Linked DNA regions of Macaca mulatta. The protein of the gene in region 4 interacts with the protein of the main gene of each other region in a biochemical or structural test. Links are inferred from orthologs where the notes say so. Each region holds a gene or a part of one and is shown on either strand. Other genes may lie near its edges.

Region 1 (4,061 bases), on a different chromosome or scaffold from region 4:
TGGAGTGCAGTGGCCGGATCTCAGCTCACTGCAAGCTCCGCCTCCCGGGTTCACGCCATTCTCCTGCCTCAGCCTCCCAAGTAGCTGGGACTACAGGCGCCCGCCACCTCGCCCGGCTAGTTTTTTGTATTTTTTAGTAGAGACGGGGTTTCACCGTGTCAGCCAGGATGGCCCTTTTGCTTTTTAATGAGAATGTATTTCTGATTCCTTTGCAATTTAAAAAAATGTTAAAAAAAAAAAAAAACACGTCTTTTGGGGTTTGAAAGAGCTAGGATGTGGTCTTTGTGCTTGGGGTGAGCCCTGGGCACTTCGCTCTCCTGTGGCAACCTGTAGGTACCGTTTAACTGCACCACGCTGAGCTTCTGCATGGTTGGAACCTCAAGTCTGGGGGGACTGAGCGGGCAGGGTCGCCTGCCACGCAGGCCCAAGTAAGAGAAGTGGTGGAGGGGGCGTTCTCACGCCTGGCCCCAGGGAGCACGGCTGCGCCTGCCGCTCGAAACCCCACCGGAGCTGCAAGGCGTCCTCGGGGTGGGCTGAGGTGGGAGTAGGGGAGCTGGGGTGCGTGTGGTAGGTGGGGTGCGCGGAGGAGGCGGGGTGCGCACCGTCCGGGTGCGGGGCCACTCCACCTGCGCGGAAGGGGAGCCGGGCAACCGGACCCCGCGGCCACCCGGGGGCCCTCAGCTCCGAGCGGCCCGCCTTGGTCCCGACGGATCCCAGCCTTTCCTCAGCCGGAGCCCCGGGACCTCCGCGGTGGGCGACGCCGCGCTGCGGACGCAGGGAGGGCCTCGAGTGCACGGGCGCCGCTGAGTCGGGTTCTCTCGCCGGCCTGTTCCCGGGAGAGTCCACGGCCCTGCTCGGATATGCCGCCGCAGGCCCCCAGACACCTGCTCCCTCGCCCTCCTTGAGCAACCCGGAGCTTGCCTCCGCTCGCCGGCCTAGCCCAACCCCCCGAGGCCGCGGCCCTTCTGGCTCCGCCTCCCGCGTTGCTCCCGGAAGCCCTGCCCGACCGCGGCTCCTGACAGACGGGCCGCTCAGCCAACCGGGGCGGGGCGGGGCCTGGTGTAGCGCGGCCAATGGTAGGTCGCGCCGGGCTGACGGACGGGCGCGGGGTGGGGCGTGCGCGAGCCCGGTCGAGTCTCCGCCGCCCGCTCCCTGCGCCTGCAGCCCCAGCCGCACCCGCCGCGGACGGAGCCCATGCGCGGGGAGAACCGCGCGCCCCCGCCCCCGCCCCGCCCTGGCCTCGGCCCCGGCCCCGGGGGCAGTCGCGCCACTGAGCGGTGAGTGCGGGCCGGGGTCGGCCGGGCCGCGCGCCCTCCCCGCCCCCAGGCGGCAGCCATACGCGCGGCGCGGGCCGGGGGCGCGGGACCGGCGGGCGTGAGCGGCTGCGGCGGCGGTAGTGGGTGGGTGGGGCCGGGCCGGGCGGGGCCCCCAGGCACAGGTGAGCGGGCGTCGGGGGCTGCGGCTGGCGGGGGCGGGCTGAGGCCCCTTAGTCCCTGGGGCCTGCGGGAATCCGGGCCCCGCCCGTGGCCTCGCTCTGGGCACGGTCCTCACGCCGGCGTCCCCGGGAGCCTCGGGCCCGGCGCCCTCATAACCAGGCGCGTCTGGGCGGAGGCGGCCGCGGCCACGGCACGCCCGGGCACCCCCGATTCAGCATCACAGGTCGCGGACGAGGCCGGGGGCCTCAGCCCCGGGGCCCTTCCCCTCTCCGGGTCTCCCGCGCCGCCTCTCGGCCCCTTCCTGTGGCTCAGCCCCTGCTTCCCAGGAGCCCCTCTGTCTTTTCCAGCTTTCTGTGGCTGAAAGATGCCCCCGGTTCCCCGCCGGGGGCGCGGGGCGCTGCCCGGGTCTGCCCTCCCCTCAGCGGCGCCTAGCACGCAGTAGGCGCTCAGCAAATACTTGTCGGAGGCACCAGCGCCACGGGGCCTGCAGGCTGGCACTGGCCTGCCCGGGCACGCCGTGGCGCGCTCCGCCGTGGCCAGACCTGTTTAGGAGGACGGTAACCTCAGCCCTCGGGCGCCTCCCTTTAGTCTTTCTGCCGACCCAGCAGCTTCTAATTTGGTTGAGAGCGCTCAGCTGTCAGCCCTGCCTTTGGAGGCTGGCTCCCTTTTCCCCTCACTGGGTCCTTAACAGCAAGTGGGGGCGAGGCGACAGTCCTCCCCCGCGCTGGTTTGCAGCTGCACAGGTAGGCACGCTGCAGTCCTTGCTGCCTGGCGTTGGGACCCAGGGCCCGCTATGGGTTTGCTCTTCAGATGGCTCTGCCAGCAGCTGCCCTGTGGGGCCTGGGCCTGGCTGAGCAGGACCATCCTTGGCAGGTGGGGCAGGAGACCCTGTAGGACCCCGGGCCGCAGGCCCCTGAGGAGCAATGACGGAATATAAGCTCGTGGTGGTGGGCGCCGGCGGTGTGGGCAAGAGTGCGCTGACCATCCAGCTGATCCAGAACCACTTCGTGGACGAATACGACCCCACGATAGAGGTGAGCCTGGCGCCGCCGTCCAGGTCCCGGCAGCTGCTGTGGGCGAGCCCAGGACACAGCCAGGATAGGGGTGGCTGCGGCCCCTGGCCCTGCATGGTGCTCTGGGCCTGTCTCCTGCTTTCTCCAGAGAAGGGGAGCCCCTCGTCTCAGCACCCCAGGAGAGGGGGCATGAGAGGGGCATGAGGGGGCATGAGAGGGGCATGAGAGGTACAGGGAGAGGCTGGCATTGTGAACTCCCCGCATGGAGGGTCCTGAGGGGTCCCTGAGCTCTGTCCTCCTGCAGGACTCCTACCGGAAACAGGTGGTCATTGATGGGGAGACGTGCCTGTTGGACATCCTGGACACCGCCGGCCAAGAGGAGTACAGCGCCATGCGGGACCAGTACATGCGCACGGGGGAAGGCTTCCTGTGTGTGTTTGCCATCAACAACACCAAGTCCTTTGAGGACATCCACCAGTACAGGTGAACCCCTTGAGGCTGGCCCGGGAGCCCACGAGGCACAAGTGGGGTCAGGCCGGCTGTGCCCAGACAGGGGCCTCCTGTCCTCTCTGTGCATGTCCTGGATGCAGTCGTGCCTGCAGCCCCTATAGCCAGCTCTCACTTTTCCTCCCAGGGAGCAGATCAAGCGGGTGAAGGACTCAGACGACGTGCCCATGGTGCTGGTGGGGAACAAGTGTGACCTGGCTGCACGCACCGTGGAGTCTCGGCAGGCTCAGGACCTCGCCCGAAGCTATGGTATCCCCTACATTGAGACCTCGGCCAAGACGCGACAGGTGAGGCAGCTCTCCAGCCCACAGGTAGCCAGGGACTCGCCCCGCCCCGCCCCAGCCAGGGAGCAGCACTCACTCACCCCTCTCCCTTGACACAGGGCAGCCGCTCTGGCTCTGGCTCCAGCTCCGGGACCCTCTGGGACCCCCCGGGACCCATGTGACCCAGCGGCCCCTCGCGCTGTAAGTCTCCCGGGACGGCAGGGCAGTGAGGGAGGCAAGGGCCGGGGTCTGGGCTCACGCCCTGCAGTCCTGGGCCGACACAGCTCCGGGGAAGGCGGAGGTCCTTGGGGAGAGCTGCCCTGAGCCAGGCCGGAGCGGTGACCCTGGGGCCCAGCCCCTCTTGTCCCCAGAGTGTCCCACGGGCACCTGTTGGTTCTGAGTCTTAGTGAGGCTGCTGGGGACACTGGCCATAGCTCAGATGAGAGCTGGGTGCAGGGTGGTCAAACCCTGGCCAGATCTGGAGTTCAGGAGGGTCCTGGGCCACCCTGACCTTTGAGGGGCTGCTGTAGCGTGGTGCAGGTGGCCCTGGGCTCTTCGAGATGACCAGAGCCCAGCTTCCTGTGTGTGTGGTGGGCCTGGGGAAGTGGCTGGTGGAGTCGGGAGCCTTGGGCCAGGCACGGCTTGATCGCACAGCAGGGAACCCCTCACCTAGGCAGGGGGCCACAGGCCTGTCCCTCCTGATCCCATTCCTCCTTTTCCAGGGAGTAGAGGATGCCTTTTACACATTGGTGCGTGAGATTCGGCAGCATAAGCTGCGGAAGCTGAACCCTCCTGATGAGAGTGGCCCCGGCTGCATGAGCTGCAAGTGTGTGCTCTCCTGA
Region 2 (4,256 bases), on a different chromosome or scaffold from region 4:
AACCCATCAGTCATGAACCAACACCAAAGTGACATTTGGGGTTTACCTACCTACATAGAGAACACCCTCTTTTGTCTTTCCTGCTGCTTCTGCCACACCCTGTTTGGTTTTCTCAGCAGCAGCCACAACTCCCTCCTTGGCCTTTGAAAGTCCTTTCATGAATACATCCATGGCTAATGAATTCCTTTACACCACACTGGAGAACATAAAATACACTTTGAATGAGAACTTTTGGGGGAAAATAAACAAAAAACACTGAAAAATCATGAGAAACCCTCCAAAGTGTGAGACTCTTTTAAGTGTACACTCATTTAACCATTGGACAAAGCAGACATTTTTAGCTCTGGCATTAAAAATTTAGCATCTCCCATCCATCTTGGCTAGTAAAAGTCTAGCCACCTAACCATGGATTAGGATGAATCCTCTGAGTTGTTAATACTGCATTTCAGAAGTGGAGTTGCATGAAAAGAGTCACTCCTGTTTTAACTTCCCGGGGTCTAAAGGGTAACAGTGTGAGTTAGAAGCATGGAAGCTGGAGGCTTAGGGTCTGGGGCATCCTTAACATGAATCCCAGAAGAAGGCTAACAGGTTGATGGTGGAGAGGCGTAGGCAAGAGAACTAACTACTCACTCTGGGTGTGGTTCAACCTCAGGCAAACAGCGAGCCCAAGGGTGCTGGTTCTAATACATCCGAGCATCCACCCCCGCCCTCAGATATCTACCCTGAGCAGGCGGCGCTCACACTCGCGGGCCGTCTCTAACCCTGCGCCAGCCACCCGAGGGGGCGTTCTCAGCATCCACCCTAGCGGACCCCGCGCCAGCACTTGTTAACCCTTTACCACCTGTTGACTTGGCCTCCCTGCACTTCCATTTCATTATTTGCCAAAGGCAGCTTGCTTACTTTACAGAGAAAAACCAAGAGAGCGGGCAGACGGATTTCAGGTAAGAGAGAAATAAAAGTTGGATGCTTACGCTCCAGGGAGCATCCTCGCGTTTCCCGGGGAAAAGCGGATCCCGGAGACGCATCCTAATCTCTCAGCCCTTGGGGAGAAGCCCTTGACAGGACGAAAGCCAGGTCAAGTCTCTTTCCTTAGGCTCCCCAAAGGGACAAGTACTCACCTCCCAGAGACCTGGCACAGCAGGTCCTCACCGCAGCACCACCCCCTCCTGGTGCCCACGACCATTCCTCTCCCACCCGGCTTTCTCCAGGATTTCCAAAGACGCCCGTTTAGATCCACAGGTACTTACCTGTGTCCCTCTGCTTCTCCACAACTCCGATTCCTCCCTACCTCTCTTTAAAAAAAAAAAAAATTAAACAATTCCCAAATAATATTTAATAGGGAAGAAGGAGGAAAAGGAGCGCACAGGAAGGGCGGAGGCGGCACCGGGAGGGGGACGGTCCCCAGAGGAGGCCGCTGTGAGCCGACGACGGGAGGCTGGGGGCGTGGGAGGCAAACCCGCTAACCTGTCGTCGAATGGCCACTCCCAGTTCTCCGCTCACGAGGATGGAGAAAAAGGCAGAAGGTTTGAAGGGAAGGCGTGAGGGAGCGCTCAGGACGCTCTCGGAGGGGCCGGGCCGGGGTCTGCGCTGCAGCCCGCACGCACCTCACTCCCGCGTCGCGGCGCTCGGTCGCTCGCCCCCTCTCTCGGGCCCCTTCTGGTCGTCGCCGTCCTCCTCCTCCTCGTCCTCCTCCTTCTCCTTCTCCTCGGCTCTCCGCCCCCACCGCTGATTTGTCAGCGCCTCTCCACGCTCCCCTCCCAGCGCTCGCTGCTTTCCCTGCAGCGTGCTCTTCGTTCCCTATCTCGGATGGGGATGGGGCAGGGGGCGCAGGGTGAACCACCAATTCCAGCCGCCTGCCTGGCCGCGCAAGGCGGGAAAGTGGGGGCGCTTTTGCGCCTCACCTCAAGTTCAGGGTCACGGGCACTCTTGTGGCGATTGGGAGCGGTTGGGCTTGGGCTGACGACTCTCCCTCTTTCCCATTCCCCTCCCTTCCTGTCCCCGCCTTTCCTCCGGGTCCTCCCTGGGACCACCCCCTACCCCTCGTCAGAGTCGACCTGGGAGAGCTGAGGGCCTGAGGGTCGACCACCCAGAGCAGAGCCTATCCTTTGGGGAGACAGGCAGCGCAGGGAGGTGGCTCACACCGCACCGCCGAGAGCACTTTGCCCTCGCATCGCTGACATTTAATCACGGTCACAGGCTACGTTAAGGGTCGCTTTAGTTCAAATATCCTCAAGATTTTCGTTTGCTCTTAATCCAGGTCGAGCTCGAAAGGGTCCCGCGGGTGAATCGGAGACTACTAAGGAAGAGTTACAGGTTGAGGAGGCAGGAGGAGGCTCAGCAAATCCTCTTCCCACCCCACTATCACCATTTTCCTTTCCACCAATCAGCGCCTGCCAGACGCTGATTTTCCCATCAGCGGAACGAGGAATAAATATTCCCCAGCCGTCTAAAACAAGCGGTCCTAAGGCTTTTCGCTCTAGAAATGGGACTTACTTTGCAGACCTAAGTGCATGGTCTGGTAGACAAATCCAGCGTGATTTACCCTACCAGACCATCATATCCAATTTCTTTTTCAGCCCCTTCTGAAAGGGAGATGCTACACGCCACTCACCTTTCTGACTTCTAATTCTCGTTGCCCTCAGAATTGACATCCCCTTTTCTCTCCCCCGACCCACCACATGCACAGACACACAGACGTACACACGCGAACCTCAAGACAATTTTTGCATCGCTTAACACATTTTCACCTCTTTCAGAACTGGAAGACAGCTATTCCTGGATCACACCAGAATGGAGAAGCAAGCTCCTCCCACTAGCAGAAAGCCTTTGCTTTCTGTGCCTGGATTCCGAAGATTAGTTAAGCACTGGTGGGGGCCGGCGGGGGGGGCGGGGACAACAGCTCGTTTTTGCTGTGTTTTTTAAAAATTGTTTTTATGTTTGTAGCTAATGCTTTGTCTGATTCTTGCACTCATTTGGATTCTGAAATTTGAGTAAAATCAAATGTAAACATACAAAACAACTTTAAAACCACAAGGAATAGTAAACAAATGATTATACATGAAAGACATATAGAAGATAATGCCTATGTGTTCAGTGGAAAATAGAAAAACATGAAAGTAAGATTACAAATTTTTATTACTTAAACTCTTCCTTGAACTATTGGTCTGCCCTTTGGAAAAACAGACTTTCCATAACGCAGTAGCTCATATTAATAGTTTGTGTTTGCTTAGGACCAGAGCAAGAAGGTTGGACTTGGGAGCTAGTTTGTTGTCTGGCTTGGAGACCTTGAACAAGTTATGTTCTCCTTCTGTTTCCAGTTTTATTTTTTGTAAATGAGGAGATGAACTCAGGTGATCGCCCTATATTCAACTTTTTGTTATGGGAAATATTCAAACATACGCAAAAGTAGAAAGAATAAAGGACTCCCATGTGAATATCACCCAACTTTTACATTTTTTCTATGCATGGCATATCATGTCTCATTCATAAGTCCACTCACTTTATCACTACCAATCCTCCCTATTTTTTTTCACAAAATTCAAGCTTTATATACATCTTTTCAACTGTAAACATTCAGTATGCATCCACAAAATTTAAGAACTGTTTAAAAATAACCACAATGTCATTAGACGATTCTTTTAAATTTCAGTGTAATTTACACCTAGTGAAATGCTCAGATGTTGTGTCCCTTTAAATCAGTTTTGAAAAAACCATGCATTGGTGTAACCCACACTATTTTGAAGACACAGGACATTTTCATCACTCCAGACAGTTACCTTGCACCCTTCATGTGCATATTCTAGAATGTCATAAAAGTCTAATCACGTAGTATAAACTTTTTTATATCTGTCTGACTTCTTTTACTCAGCATAGTATTTGTGAGGTGATTCATGTCATTGCATGAATCGGTGGTTTGTTTTTTATTGCTTTTTGTTGTTTCTTTTTATTATTGTTAATAGTGTAAGTTTTCCATTGTGTCTTATTACAACTAGTACTTCAATAGGCTATTACAACAATTATTTAATATATTATTTCATATGACATATTTATAGTATAACAGTGACCTCTTTGAGACCTGGTGCTTTGAGTCAAATAGGTAAATAAAATGCGATATTTTAGGTCTCATTACCAGACCAATGTGAGATAATTATTTTTGGACAGTTGCATTTCTTATAACATTTGACATGATTCTACACTTTTATATGGTAATTTGTTAGTACTTTCGCAAAGGACTAATGTACTATGTTATTTAGTCA
Region 3 (3,500 bases), on a different chromosome or scaffold from region 4:
GAGAGTCTTTTTTCAGTTTCAAAGAATCATAGTCGATCTCTACAGCAGTTGTTTTAATATAGCCATCTACCAAAAAGGGAAAGGCTTATGTTCAGGCAACTGTAGTTTAAATATTTTAAAGTTGTGAATAAAATATCAATCGCACATTTGCTCTTTAAACTTTCCCCTGATTTATTTTCTTATAGTTCTGATTTGTAGACCTCCCAGGTAGACCCACATTTTACTGTACTCTGTCAAAGTCTAATCCTGTTGTAGTTTAATGTAAGCCTACCTTCTATTTTAAATATTCTAAAGTGATTCACATGAAGCATTTTTTCTTTTTAACATCAATGAAAAACCTAATGCTGTTTGTTCCTCCTGGAATAATATAAAACTTTACATTGTTTCCCACAGTGAAGATAACAGATGAGGTGAAGACGGAACTATACCTGCCATTTAACATTTTCCTCCCTTTGTCCACTCTGTAAAGTACTCCTAACTTGGTGCCTATGAGGAGTTCTGGAGGAACATGCACATTGAATATTGCCTCACAAAGAAAACACTTTGAAGCCATAGAAAAATTTGCACTCACATGAACCCCTGGCTGTTCTGCCCAGCCATTTTCCTTCTGGGTTGTCTGTGATACGGATGATTTCAATTTGCTCTCCTTGCTTGAAGCTCAGTTCATTCTTTCCTCCTTTGACATCACAACAAGCTTTTGCAAGATGGATGACTTGAATAGGGCCTGTTAGCTGCAAAGAGAAAACAATAATCAGAAAAGATTTCCTTATAATTTAGAAAATCTTCAAGGAATGCAATTTTGAAAGATACTAAATCTACAACTTGTGAACCTACCTATAACCAACATTTACAGGGTTTAACTAGAAATTGGGGGCTGGGCGCAGTGGCTCAAGCCTGTAATCCCAGCACTTTGGGAGGCCGAGACGGGCGGATCACAAGGTCAGGAGATCGAGACCATCCTGGCTAACGCGGTGAAACCCCGTCTCTACTAAAAAATACAAAAAACTAGCCGGGCGAGGTGGCGGGTGCCTGTAGTCCCAGCTACTCGGGAGGCTGAGGCAGGAGAATGGCATAAACCCGGGAGGCAGAGCTTGCAGTGAGCTGAGATCCGGCTACTGCACTCCAGTCTGGGCGACAGAGCAAGACTCCGTCTCAAAAAAAAAAAAAAAAGAAAAAAAAAGAAAAGAAATTGAGGGTGAATGCTTTTCTTACAGGAGGGGTTAGGAAAAAATTACAGGGGCCAAGCAGGACCCGTTAAGGACAGGTGAATATGTGCATGGGGTCAGGAGAGTGAGGCAGGGATCTGTTGGCCTAGGAATTCTGCAAGAGGCCTGTAAAGGCAGCCCCCAATAACTGAATAGCACTTATGTACAACAATCCATGCTGTGTGCTACGTGTCTTTATGGAATATGCCAGGATTCCATTTGGAAGATGGAGTTTTTTCCCCTTTCATTGTTTGTAAAATTGAAGCAGACATTACCTGCTGTAAACAAGACAAAATTTCAGAAATGAGCTTGCAAATCAAAAAATAGCAAGCAAATGTTACATGAGGTCTTTAAAATTAATATTCTGAATAGTATGGTGGCTTATTGATAGAAGGGTAATGATCTTGGTTAGACCATGAATCCCATATTCTTAATTTTCTAATCCTAAATTGGTGTCTTTTCAACAGAATTTCTTGAATCTTTTGATATGCAAATATGCAAATATGCATTACGACTTTTGAAGAAGCTCTACCTTTAATTTATTGAATTTATGATGACATTAATTATAAACATATATCATTATCATGTACCACTAAGAAATAAAGAAAAGAATGTAAGTTAAATTATGATATGCCATGATGCTGATGAGGCTCAGTTCTCATATTTATTTAATTTTTTTTTTTTACCTATTATGTGTTATCATCTTGTGAAAGGAATATAGGTGGTGAAGTCCTAGTCTTGACAGACTTTTAAGTTCATATTTAATGGTATGATTTCCATACCCTATCTTTTCTCACTAAAAATATTATTTGAATGAATGAGTGAAATAATGTAAAGCTGATTTCTCCAAAAGAAACATATGGAAAAACTTCACATAATTCCTTTAAATCTACAAACAAGCTCTCCATGGAAAGTATGCTATATAGATTTTTCATAAATTAACTGAAATTATTTTTTCCCTTGAAAATATAAACATTGGTAGTCATGCATTCTGTGTAAGTAAAATGTTCTAATATTAATACTGTAATCATAATTTTACTCATATATAGCGAGCTTTTTCAAAATCAAATGAGAATCTTATGATACAGTGCCTGCTATGCATTATTTTAGTTCCGTAACACACTTTCTGGAGTAGTATCATTTATTCTCCCTTAAAAGATTAAGCATCAGTGGCTCAGAAAAGTTAAGTGATAAGCCCAAGATTACATAACTTGTATGTACCACTGGAATTTGAATCAGTTCGTCTAACTGACTTAATGCTATATGTTTTCCTTGCACCATGCTTTGAACCTTTGCTTTAATACAATAAATATTCTGGGAAGTTATATATAAATCATTTTTTAAAAATTTGAGCCACATATTAAATGCTCCAGAGAAATAAATATTTAAAGAAAGCATACTGTGAATTCTTTTTGAAAGAATAATTTTGTAATTCAGATAATCACCCTAAATATGTCTGACATGCCAGACCCATGCCACATGAGCCAGGTCATCAAAGATAGTGTAGCCAGGAGAAAATAGCCCATGAGTGTAGCGTTTACTGGTGGTAGTAATGGTAGAAGACACACAATTACCAGAGATCAGAGAATACAGGGGTCAGAATCCACATAGACAAAGAGGGATGAGAAACAGCAGGTATCAGAAGTCAGCATGTACACAGACTTAAAATAAAGGCAATAATGTAACTCATGTTTAGATACTAGCAATTAGAGTAGCTCATGGAAATCTTATTCTGAGACAGGTCTGGTTCACCCTGGAGACACCTGTGTCCAATACCCCACTATAATACATACCATAGGGATATTTATGTGTGTGATGCTAATTCATAGTAGAAGCAGGCTAATATGAAATGCATTATGGGGAGAGCCAAGATGGGTTTGAAAAAGTAAATATTCATTCACTCAATCCACATAAATTTCCTGGGTGCCCACTAATTATGAACCACCATATTTTTAAAAATTTTATTATATTAGTTAAGGGATAAGATGGTGTATTGGACAAAAAAGTACTTTTATGAAGATAATTACTCTTTAGAAAACAATGAGTAATTCTTCAACTATGTAAGGTTTCAAGAATGGTACCCCTTTTGTGTGAAAGGTATAAAAAGATGTTATTCTTTCACCCATTAGCAAGCAAGCCCTTACTTTAAATTTCTTCTTTATTTCTTGTTCTTTCTTTTCTTTCTCTTTCTGTTCCTTTTTCTCCAGCTCTAACCTCTTCTTTTCCTCCTTTTCTCTTTTCTTCTCTCTTTCTTTGGATGCTTCTCTGTGAATAAAAATTGTTAGGTTGTTTTCG
Region 4 (3,500 bases):
AGAGCTGTGGGTCGTGTAAGTCTAAGTCTAGTTAGGAAACAGCAGTATTGGTGGGGAACATGATAAATGGCTTGCATGAGAATGAAATGTACGTGCAGCTATTCCTGCAACAGTGCTGAGTGTAAAGTGATGGTGGAAAGCCAGTATTCCTTGTAGGAGTCCCCATGTAAGTGCCCTCCGAGAGACTCCTTCCTCATATGCAATGCAGGGGGAATGGGAAAAGACAACTTGAAGTATTTTAGGATGAAGATAAAAAGACAAACAACTTTTACAATTTAACCTATTGCTTTCTACTTGGGAAACAAAAATATTATAGGATCTTTGGACAAACATGTGGAACTAATAATAACAACTACAGTAGAACAACAGCAATAGAACCTATTCAGCCAAGTCCCACCATTAAGGGCTGGCAAAGAAAACATATTCTAGGAGTGATTTTGTACATAATTAGTTTTACCCTTTCCACTTTCCTGCTCTGGGCCTATCCACTCCCTCCAGCATCCACACGGTTAGTAGGCAGTTAGAATTCAGGTTACCTGAGTAATGTTGTACAAGCTGCTGAAGGGTTTCAAACTGGGCCCGGGTGGTAATGTAGTATCCACCGTTGTCAAGTTTGCGAATTTTATAATGTTTGACGTGGTCTCCTTTCATATCATCCCAATCGCGGATGGAAAGTGAATAGGCACCTGGTAAACAAGCAAAGCATTAGCAGCACTAGTCATTTAGACTATTAGCTTGCTTTTTAGGCCTCATTTTCTTGACTCTGATTAATAATTACCAAGGATACACACACACATGTACACACACACACAGCATCTCCACTCAGGAACAGGAAGAAGATGCTTCTTGATGTCCTGCAAATGTCAGAAGATATTAGCAGTAAAATAATTCTGCACTTGAGACTGAAAGCTTCCTGGATATTTTTCTTAAACACACTGCTCAGTCACCCTTGTTGTATAATACAGCGTAGACTCAATTCCGACACTCCTTCCCTCCAGGGTAGAGAGAAGAACCACGATGCACGGCTGAGTTTGCTTCCCCTGTCTTCTCTACCCAGGGGCATACTGGGAGGTAGCGGCAGCATGTGCAAAAGAAATCTAAGGCTTTTTTCTCTAGAAGTGAGCTCCAAGCTTCTGTTTTACAACACTTTCCACAGGAACAGATAATCTGGTGGATTAAGCTAGAGGCCCCTACTCTTTTCTTCCTTGACCTATCTCCTCTTGTGGGCTGTAATGAGTGGTTAAATAATGAAAAGTCCAACAGTTGGAGGAAGAGAAGTGAAGTCCTCAGTTATTTAAAAAACAAAAGGAAAGCAAAAACAACCCATATGACTGGCACCCGAGGAACTAAGAGTTTCAGAAAATCGAAATTCTAAAGGACTTCTGAAAATTCTATGATCTTGTGTGCCCGGAGCAGTAAAGCCGCCCCCAGCCTGTTTCAGGAGGAAGGTCTTGATTTGGAGCCTCTGTAGTTCTTTTGGTGCTGTCTGCAGTTCTAGAGCCTGGAGGCAAGACTGAAAACAGGACTCCACTCATAAGGCAGGGAGGATATGTGCCATTTTAAAAACCTTGTACATTACAGATAAGCCTTTCATCCCCTCTGACTAATCCACAGATTTGAATGACAAGCCAACTTCTTCAACTCGTTATCTTACCTTTGGTGGTTTCACTCTCGCGGATAAGAAAGGTACCTCTTGGGTTTCCAAAGGACAATAGCTGTCGCTCAGCATCTTTTCGGCCAAGTTTTCCAAAGTACCACCTTTAAATGAGATCAAGGAAAGAAAATACTTCGTAATAGTCATTTACAAAATGCAACAGCGTAGGCTTTTTTTTTTGCCCATGAATTCCCCTCACCTCCGATTTAGTCCTTAGCCTTTCCCTGTACGTATTTTTTCTAGCTTAATTCAGTTCCTTTCCAATCTATCCTGGATTCTATCCCTAATTCATCTCTTTCACTCTTTTAAAAAAATCAGATTTGAATTGTGGGTTGTTTTCCTCCCCTCCAGACGTGACCAGAACTGGTTTGTGTTAAAACCGCCATCTGTATGCAAAAAAACCCAGAAATCGAAGACCTTGATTTGAAATGGCAACTGCATGAGACCCTCTCCACACTTATTTAAAAGACTCTAGTCTGGGCATGGTGGCTCACGCCTGTAATCCCAGCGCTTTGGGAGGCCGAGGCGGGCAGATCACCTGAGGTCAGGAGTTTGAGACCAGCCTGGCCAACATGGTGAAACCTCATCTCTACTAAAAATACAAAAATTAGCTAGGTGTGGTGGTGGGCACCTGTAATTCCAGGTACTCGGGAAGCTGAGGCAGAAGAATTGCTTGAACCTGGGAGACCCAGGTTGCAGTGAGCTGAGATCGTGCCATTGTACTCCAGCCGGGTGACAGAACAAGGCTGTGTCTCCAAAAAAAAAAAAAAAAAAAAAAAAAAGGCCAAGCATGGTGGCTCACACCTGTAATCCCAGCAGTTTGAGAGGCCAAGGCGGGTGGATCATGAGGTCAGGAGATGGAGACAACAATCCTGGCTAACACTGTGAAACCCCGTCTCCACTAAAAATGCAAAAAATTAGCTGGGCGTGGTGGTATGAGCCTGTAACCCCAGCTACTTGGGAGACTGAGGCAGGAGGATCGCTTGAACCTGGCAGGTGGAGGTTGCAGTGAGCCAAGATCGTGCCACTGCACTCCAGCCTGGGTGACAGAGTGAGGCTCTGTCTCAAAAACAAACAAAAAAACAAAACTCTTGAATCTCTTGATATCTGAGCATTATTAACTGCTGGGAAATAACAAAACACAGCCTCAATGTATATGAAGATAATTAACAAGCATTAAAAAAAGTCAGAATAGATAGATATGATATGAATAAAGGAATAGTATTTTCAGTAACTTCCTACCTATAAGAATTCTGAGAAAAATGCCCGTGAGTACTTATTTGTATTTTGCTTTCCCCCAGGTGTGAGGACTTGGATAAGTAAAGGCATTTGCCAGCACCTGGATTGTGATCTGTGTACATCATTATCTTCTTCTTCCTCTTTTTCTGTTTTTTTCTTGAGACAGGGTCTCACTCTGTCACCCAGGCTGGAGTGCAGTGGCATAACCACAGCTCACTGCAGCCTTGACCTCCCCAGGCTCAAGCAATCTTCCAACCTCAGCCTCCTGGGACAACAGGTGCACATCATCACACCAGCTAATTAAAAATTTTTTTTTGTAGAGGCTGGGAGTGGTGGCTCATGCTTGTAATTCCAGCACTTTGGGAGGCTGAGGCAGGCAGATCACCTGAGGTCAGGAGTTCGAAACCAGCCTGGCCAACATGGTGAAACCCCAACTCTAATGAAAATATAAACAATTAGCTGGGCATGGTGGCATGTGCCTGTAATCTCAGCTATTTGGGAGGCTGGGGCATGAGAATTGCTTGAACCAGGGATGTGGAGGTGGCAGTGAGCAGAGACAGGGCCACTGCACTCTAGCCGGGGGACAGAGTCAGACTGTCTCCCTATG
Region 5 (3,500 bases), on a different chromosome or scaffold from region 4:
TCTGATATTTAGAATGTTCCACTGATTTTAGGGAGTATATGTATTTTAACTATTCTCAGTGAATCATATAAGCTTTCAGTTGCTGCTCATTCCTTGGGCACTTTTCCCTCATCTCTGTTAGAACTCCTGTTATAGCACTTAACTATACTTCATTGCCACCCCTATAGTCTGGGAACTCCAGTATATAAACAGTGAAGACAGAGACCAGTCTGACTCGCTCTGTTGTATCTCCTGTGCTTTGCAAGACAGATGCCTGGCTCTTAGTAAGTCCTCCATAGTGATTAATGATTGTACCTATTATAGCTCTCCCTTCATCTGCCTCTCCATACCGTAGGAAGCACTCAAACACTTGCAGTCACTCAATGAATGAAGTTCCTTAATGGTAGGAAATCTTTTTTTTTTGTTTTTGTTTTGTTTTTTGTTTGTTTGAGACGGAGTCTTGCTCTGTCACCCAGGCTGGAGTGCTGTGGCCGGATCTCAGCTCACTGCAAGCTCCGCCTCCCGGGTTCCCGCCATTCTCCTGCCTCAGCCTCCCGAGTAGCTGGGACTACAGGCGCCCGCCACCTCGCCCGGCTAGTTTTTTGTATTTTTTAGTAGAGACGGGGTTTCACCGTGTTAGTCAGGATGGTCTCCATCTCCTGACCTTGTGATCCGCCCGTCTCAGCCTCCCAAAGTGCTGGGATTACAGGCTTGAGCCACCGCGCCCGGCCAGTAGGAAATCTTTTTGTATGCCAAGTTTCTATCTAATGAAACTGTCTTAACCTGTGAATTGAAAGTACTTTTGGGTGATGATGGATATGTCTGTGGCCATAATGGTGGTGATAGTTTCATGGGTGTATACTTATCTCCAAACTCATCATGAATTGTATACATTAATTATGTATGGGTTTTTACATATCAGTTATACTTCAATAAAATGTTTTTTTAGAAAGTACCTTGTGGCTGGGCCGGGCGCGGTGGCTCATGCCTGTAATCCCAGCACTTTGGGAGGCTGAGGCAGGTGGATCACCTGAGGTCGGGAGTTCAAGACCAGCCTGACCAACATGGAGAAACCCCGTCTCTACTAAAAATACAAAATTAGCTGGGCATGGTGGCACATGCCTGTAATCCCTGCTACTTGGAAGGCTGAGGCAGGAGAATCGCTTGAACCCAGGAGGCAGAGGTTACGGTGAGCCAAGATTGCACCATTGCACTCCAGCCTGGGCAACAGGAGTGAAACTCCGTCTCAAAAAAGTACCTGGTGCATTTTGTATCGTTTAGACATTGGCTGAATTTGGGCTAGATAATGGTGACAATATATTAAGTACTTTATGAAAAATTGCCTTTAATTAGGCATATCTACATATTTTATTAACTTCTCTTACGTCACACAACTAGTGAGTAGCAGAGTAAGAACAAGGTCTTTCAGACTCTTAAGGACTAGTATCTAGAGTACTAATGTCACTGTGGAACTTTAATGGAACTATCCATTGTATATTTAGATTATTGATTTTTGCTTTTTTCAAGGTAAGATTATATTTTGTCTTGATGCAGATTTTAATTTTTTGTTTGTTTCTTTATTCTCCTTTCCCCATCTCACCCAATTAATTTTGTTAAATCGATTTAAGAAACATTTAAATGTCTCTATTCTCACGTGAGGCTTCAGGTGAGGTTAGAAGAGCACACTACTTTTATTAGAAGCAGGCTTTGGGCTTTCTAATCAACTTCATATAACTTTAGTACTTTCAGCTAGTTTATTTCTGAAATTGGCACATTCATGTGTACTATTTGGTCTCACTATATGGTACTTCATGTTATTGCTTTAAGCAGACTTCAAAATTTGCTTTTATTTACCAGAGCAAAAATTTAAATTGTTTTTCCTGTTCAGAAATTGAGAAGATTCAGAAAGGAGACTCAAAAAAGGACGATGAAGAGAATTACTTGGATTTATTTTCTCATAAGAACATGAAACTGAAAGAGCGAGTGCTGATACCTGTCAAGCAGTATCCCAAGGTAAGGCAAAAAGTGCCTTGCATCTTTGAGTTATCTTTATAGTTACGAGAGAGTCATGGACTCCTGGGGATTGTGATGCTTTAGAAACTTAAGCCTGTGAAGCTTCTCTTTCATGCTTGCAGTACCTGTTTCTGGCAATTGAAATATCTAAGTTCTTAACTAAACATAGTTATAGCCAGGAAGGAAATGTAATAATCTTTTTATTATCAAAAAGTTTCTTTCTCTAATGACTGCTCAGGCTACAAGTTCAAAGAAAAAAAAAAAATAAAACCTGAAGAGTTGCTCTCTGTCAAAAGACTAACCTGAAATCTAAATAAAAGGAAATATAATACAAATCCTCAATTGGATGAAGTTAATTTTATTTTCTTACTAAAAGTTTACTTTTAAGTAAATGCTTTTTTTCTTCCTTTTTTTTTTTTTCTTTTTTTAGGAAAGCAATTAGTTACATTTAGTTTATCCAGCGTGCTATCAAAGGGTGCTATATAGTCTCTTCTGCTCTGAGGTCACTGCGTTAACAATGTTTATGTATGTTAAGGCATGCATAAACAGGCACAGTGGCTCATGCCTGTAATGCCAGCACTTTGGGAGGCCAATGCAGGCAGATTACTTGAGCCCAGGAATTCAAGACCAGCCTAAGCAACATAGCAAAACCGTATCTCTACAAAAAATACAAAAATTAGCCTGATATGGTGATGTGCACCTATAGTCCCGGCTACTCCAGAGGCTGAGGCGGGAGGATCACTTGAGCCCAGGAAGTCGAGGCTGCGGTGAGCCATGATCATGTCACTACACTTTGGCCTGGGCAACAAAGTGAGAGCCTGTCTCAAAATAAAGTAAAAAATAAAATAGTAAAGGTCTTAGTGTATTATGGAAGATGGCCAGAATACATCAGAAAAGCCAAATTCAGGTCTAGGAACTGCCACTTTCTAGTTTCATAATCTTAAACTAATCACTTTATTAATATGGCTTCAGCGTCCTTCAGTAAAACGGGAATGGTAATACTCTACCTTTGCAGGGTTGTTTAAAATCAAATGAGGTAATTTATGTGGAGATGTTTTTATATAGTAGCATGTATATTTAGAAATCCTTTATTTTCTGTCAGTTCAATTTTGTGGGGAAGATTCTTGGACCACAAGGGAATACAATCAAAAGACTGCAGGAAGAGACTGGTGCAAAGATCTCTGTGTTGGGAAAGGGCTCAATGAGAGACAAAGCCAAGGTAAGCTCACATTAGTGAGGCAAGAGGACATCCTAATGCCTTCTACTTGCCCAGAATGCAGTATAGATGCCTTATAGAGGCAAGAATATTGTGTATGTACAGAATGTGGCTCCTTTAAGTGTGCATTGGGTGCAAGAGATTATACACCAAGTTAATTTACTTGCTTGGCAACCCTGGAAGAGCCTAGGTGTGCCCTGGTGATAGTTTTCTTTTGGACTTTTGACTGCATAGTAATGGACAGAGCAGTAGCATCTTGTGCATTGGTAGGATTGTCTGGGAAAACTTGAAA
Region 6 (4,019 bases), on a different chromosome or scaffold from region 4:
GCACATCTCTGATTATTTTCTTAAGAGAAATTCTTAGTGATAGGATTACAACATAAACTATTAGTTTCAAGCTTTTGATATGTATTTCTAAAGTGCTCTTCAGAAAAAGTTATAGCAATTTACATGTATACTGGCTGAAACTAATGTTTAAACAGCACTTTTCTTTCAAATCTTTGTCAGTCTGGGTTTTTGTTAACTTTACTAATTTGATGAAAATTGGTGTTCCCTATTTTTAGTTTGCATCTCTTTTCTTATTAGTAAAGTTACTGATTTGATTTCCTTGTGATAATTTAACAATTTCTGGTTCATCTGGGTTGATCTAGAGAAGATAATTGCTTACTGGGGTAGATGGACATGACTCGTCTGGTCATTTGATTTTTAATCACTAAATTGACTCCAGAGAGGAGGTAAAAGATGAATGCTTAGGTACCTATCAGACCAGGCACATTCCACAGGTTTTCAAAATGATCTTATTTGAGACATCCTCCAGAGGCTTTATTTTTCTAGCAAATATTTCCACTCTGCTTGTGTACATATGGACTTTCTAACATTTAAGGATTAGGACACAGACTCAGGGGCCAGAGCTTCCCAACAGTGGCTCCTATAAGAACTTAACAGTCTAGGACAGTAGACAGGCGACTGGGTTGCCTGCAGTAGCCACATCCAGAGAAACTGAAACTTACTTCACTTAATAGATGGCCAGTGCTGCCTTCTTCTTTATTCTGAGTTTCTAAGGATGCGATCTATCTATAGTCTTTGCAGAGGTATCCTGCTTTTCCTCTATTTCTCACTCCATGCTCACTACAGAGAGACAGGAGTTTCCCTACTTCATGAGGCACCAGTCCAGTACCGGAAAGCCCTGTAGGTGACAAGGCATCAAGAGCCTGTGTTCCTTCTAGCCCCAGTTCCATACTAGGGGTCTTGGGCATATTCACCTAATCCGTCTGGCATTTTGTTTCTCTTCCAAAAAAATGAAATGGCTGGACTGGATATTCTAAGCTTCCTTCCAACTCTAAACCTTCAGTGAATCTCATTGTAAATCTAAATCTAAAATTTCAATGAATCTTAGGCTAGTGAAGCACATTGTAAAATCCATCTGTACAGAGCTTGCAAAACTATGCCCTGAAATTTCACGAGATCAGTGTTCCAACATATCGTCTTCTTGCCCTAGCTCCCATACAAAGGATTTTCCTTTGTGATCAAGGGTACCTCATGACTGCCTCTGAAGCTGAACATCCTTTGAATGATGGCTGAAGTCTTCCCTTCAGCTTCTCAGTGACTTCAAGAAAAACCATTCTAATGTACGGAATTGATTAGCCACATTTTAAAAGCTTACGTCCTATAAAACATTTTGTAAATAAAGTTTCACTGTAATCTCTTTAGAGGCTTTAAAAGAGGAGAGGACGTTTCTCAGAAACATCTGTCTCTGCCTTCACTTCGCCTTCTCTTCCCAGAAGTCATAGCCACTGGCATGTGTGCCAGGACCAGGGTGTCTGTGGAAGGGGACAGGCCTGGAACCACTGCTCAGGGGGCAAAAGTCCACGGTTGTATATGTGTGTCTCTTTCCAAAGTCAAGCGGAAGTGATTTTGAATTGTGTGCCGTGCTCAGCTATATTGATTGTGAGCAATTCAATTCACTTCACATTTATAAAGCAGCTCAAGGAATCATACTGACCAGAGATTCCGAATTAGCCAGGATTCCTCTCATAGTATACATAAGCCAAAGTGTAGGACAGAATATAAGGCATTCCATTAACATATTTCAGTGCTGAGGATCATCTTTAGGAACTCAATGTACATGTGAAAAAGGACTCACCTATTTGCTTCTCCAAAGATGATGCTGTATGCTTCTGGCTGGTAGACTAGTAAAAGAGAAAGAAAAAAGATGCATAATAAAAATAAAATTATTTAAGCAAAAGAGACAGAATCGTCAAATAAACCAAGCCCTGGAAAGAGAATCCAAATACCTCAGAACTTTTGCTGACTCAGGCTTTGGTCAAGCAATTTTGCTTCACTGTCCCTCAGTTTTGTGATTTGAAATCGTACCAGTATTTTAAGTATTTTCAAGATTTAGTTTGGTCATCTGAACAAATTTACTTCCAAGCAAAACTTAAAAGTTTTGTTTGTTTTTTACTCCTTAAATCACTAGGTATGAGGCAGTAAGTGGTTCAACAGACTGAGTTGACAACTGAGGAAAGAAAAACTGTTGGGCTCTGATTCTTTACAAAATAAAAAATATTCCCTTCACTCCTATGAGCCTCCATTTCTCTGCCTATAGAATAGAATAACTAGAACAACCCATTTCTAAGAAAAAAAAAAAAGGATTGAAAAGCACTTTGCAAGCCAGGCAGTGGGCCCTCCACCCCCTTATGCCTGGTGCCTCCAGGGCACAGCAGTCTGCCAGCAGGCTTACCTCTCGGAGTTCTGCCAGCTCTTTCTGTAAGTGGAAGAGCTGAAACATCCCCAGTCCCAATCCTACCAAGGCAACCAGAACCATGAAAAACATCACAAGGAGACAAAGGCCTGTGCTGTGGTTTCCCCTCTTCTTCAAGGGTGGCAGCGGTAGTGGAGGCAGTGGTGGTGGCGGTGGAGGTGGTAGTGGCGGCGGCGGCGGCGGTGGTGGTGGCCTCCTTTGACCAGGCCTTCTGGGCACAGAGGTTGGACAGGGAAGAACTGTGCCTGGAGGGGCCCAGGGAGAGCTGGCACTGCTGTCCACCCAGTAGATCTGGGGATATGGGTAATTGAAGGGCTGCTGCATGGCAGCCGGTGAGTCAGGCCAGCCCCAGCAAACGGTTTTACTTCTCAATCCTGTAGAGGCTGAGGTGTCAAGGACAGGACTCCTGTTGCTGACTGCTCAAGAGGAGGCAAGCTGGATCTCTCTTATAGAGTTTCCATAGCTAAGGGAAACACCTCTGTCTTTCTCTTTCTCTATGTCTCTCTCTGATTCTGCTTCTCAAAGAAACACCCACTCACTTTGCAGCTGAAGCTGAGAAGCCTCAAGAAGCTCAGAGCAAACCCCTGGAAGTTTCCGCCCACAATCTTCTGACGAAAGCCTTGGAAGCCTCAGTTGCTATCGCTGTACTACCCAAACAGGTTGGTAGGCTATGCTCACCTTCCTGGGATCCTGTAGAGCAGGTCAGCATTGGGGTAGAGCCCTGTTGGCGTGAACTGCTCCCAGCTACAGGAGAATGGCCAGTGGGGCTATAATTTTATGAATTATAATTGTATCCTTTTTTATACATTACAATTGTATAATGTTAAGAATTCTACCATGTATACGACCAAAAAACTATTTAAAAATACCAAAATAACTCTAACAAAAATTGTTCAGAACCATATTTTTTAAACTATAAAAATTTTACTGAAATTGGCTCTGAGGGGAGAGACCATGGAGCCATGGCCAGAGAAGTCACTCCCACATTTTCGTTTTTGCAGGAGGAAAACACCTGTTGCCATCATCGCTTCCCCACACACAACTACCATTTACCCTGACCTGCCAATCACCATAATTTACAGGTTAAAAAACCTGCTACACCCTCTTTAGAAATTAGATCAGAGGCTGCAAACAGTGGAACCCACAGAACTGCTTTGTATTTCACAATGTTTTCATTTTCATTGTTTGCCCAGCTTATTTATTTACGTATTTATTTAAATAGAGACAGAGTCTCACTCTGTCACCCAAGCTGGAGTGGAGTGGTGCTATCGTAGTTAACTGCAGCCTCAAACTCCTGGGCTCAAGCAATCCTCTTGCCTCGGCCTCCTAAGTAGCTGGGATTATAGGCATGAGTCACTACACCTGACTTATTTATTTATTTATTTATTTATTTTTGTAGAGATGGGGACTCGCTATGTTGCCCAGGCTTGTCTCAAACTCCTAGCTTCAAGACATCCTCCCACCTCAGTTTCCCAAAGTGCTGGAATTACAGTCATGAGCCACTGCACTCAGCCCAATTGACCACTTTTAATATCAATATTAAAAATATTTTAATATATATACATTTTAAATACACATTAAAATA

What was found.
Region 1: the proteins of FYN (region 4) and HRAS form a complex in vitro, tested with the Homo sapiens proteins (2 studies listed by BioGRID and IntAct). The link is inferred for Macaca mulatta from reciprocal best matches to the Homo sapiens genes FYN and HRAS.
Region 2: of the proteins of FYN (region 4) and SNCA, one has a biochemical effect on the other in vitro, tested with the Homo sapiens proteins (3 studies listed by BioGRID). The link is inferred for Macaca mulatta from reciprocal best matches to the Homo sapiens genes FYN and SNCA.
Region 3: the proteins of FYN (region 4) and FYB1 form a complex in vitro, tested with the Homo sapiens proteins (2 studies listed by BioGRID and IntAct). The link is inferred for Macaca mulatta from reciprocal best matches to the Homo sapiens genes FYN and FYB1.
Region 5: the proteins of FYN (region 4) and KHDRBS1 form a complex in vitro, tested with the Homo sapiens proteins (4 studies listed by BioGRID and IntAct, with this or other methods). The link is inferred for Macaca mulatta from reciprocal best matches to the Homo sapiens genes FYN and KHDRBS1.
Region 6: the proteins of FYN (region 4) and FASLG form a complex in vitro, tested with the Homo sapiens proteins (4 studies listed by BioGRID and IntAct, with this or other methods). The link is inferred for Macaca mulatta from reciprocal best matches to the Homo sapiens genes FYN and FASLG.

The regions. Positions count from the first base shown.
Region 1 is NC_133419.1:424,686-428,746, reverse strand, and holds the start of HRAS (GTPase HRas), read left to right. Parts: upstream 1-1,261; 5' UTR 1,262-1,277; intron 1,278-1,302; exon of another isoform or gene 1,303-1,438; intron 1,439-2,309; 5' UTR 2,310-2,359; coding exon 2,360-2,470; intron 2,471-2,753; coding exon 2,754-2,932; intron 2,933-3,083; coding exon 3,084-3,243; intron 3,244-3,338; exon of another isoform or gene 3,339-3,420; intron 3,421-3,941; coding exon 3,942-4,061. UniProt on the Homo sapiens protein: Involved in the activation of Ras protein signal transduction. Ras proteins bind GDP/GTP and possess intrinsic GTPase activity.
Region 2 is NC_133410.1:99,154,553-99,158,808, forward strand, and holds the start of SNCA (alpha-synuclein), read right to left. Parts: upstream 2,801-4,256; 5' UTR 2,612-2,800; intron 1,968-2,611; exon of another isoform or gene 1,902-1,967; intron 1,669-1,901; exon of another isoform or gene 1,465-1,668; intron 1,293-1,464; exon of another isoform or gene 1,248-1,292; intron 765-1,247; exon of another isoform or gene 631-764; intron 197-630; 5' UTR 172-196; coding exon 51-171; intron 1-50. UniProt on the Homo sapiens protein: Neuronal protein that plays several roles in synaptic activity such as regulation of synaptic vesicle trafficking and subsequent neurotransmitter release.
Region 3 is NC_133411.1:40,218,986-40,222,485, forward strand, and holds part of FYB1 (FYN-binding protein 1), read right to left. Parts: intron 3,471-3,500; coding exon 3,350-3,470; intron 732-3,349; coding exon 572-731; intron 67-571; coding exon 1-66. UniProt on the Homo sapiens protein: Acts as an adapter protein of the FYN and LCP2 signaling cascades in T-cells. May play a role in linking T-cell signaling to remodeling of the actin cytoskeleton. Modulates the expression of IL2. Involved in platelet activation.
Region 4 is NC_133409.1:16,778,736-16,782,235, forward strand, and holds part of FYN (tyrosine-protein kinase Fyn), read right to left. Parts: intron 1,759-3,500; coding exon 1,655-1,758; intron 687-1,654; coding exon 537-686; intron 1-536. UniProt on the Homo sapiens protein: Non-receptor tyrosine-protein kinase that plays a role in many biological processes including regulation of cell growth and survival, cell adhesion, integrin-mediated signaling, cytoskeletal remodeling, cell motility, immune response and axon guidance.
Region 5 is NC_133406.1:208,851,414-208,854,913, reverse strand, and holds part of KHDRBS1 (KH domain-containing, RNA-binding, signal transduction-associated protein 1), read left to right. Parts: intron 1-1,867; coding exon 1,868-1,992; intron 1,993-3,094; coding exon 3,095-3,211; intron 3,212-3,500. UniProt on the Homo sapiens protein: Recruited and tyrosine phosphorylated by several receptor systems, for example the T-cell, leptin and insulin receptors. Once phosphorylated, functions as an adapter protein in signal transduction cascades by binding to SH2 and SH3 domain-containing proteins.
Region 6 is NC_133406.1:30,156,216-30,160,234, reverse strand, and holds the start of FASLG (tumor necrosis factor ligand superfamily member 6), read right to left. Parts: upstream 2,801-4,019; 5' UTR 2,759-2,800; coding exon 2,414-2,758; intron 1,863-2,413; coding exon 1,817-1,862; intron 1-1,816. UniProt on the Homo sapiens protein: Cytokine that binds to TNFRSF6/FAS, a receptor that transduces the apoptotic signal into cells. Involved in cytotoxic T-cell-mediated apoptosis, natural killer cell-mediated apoptosis and in T-cell development.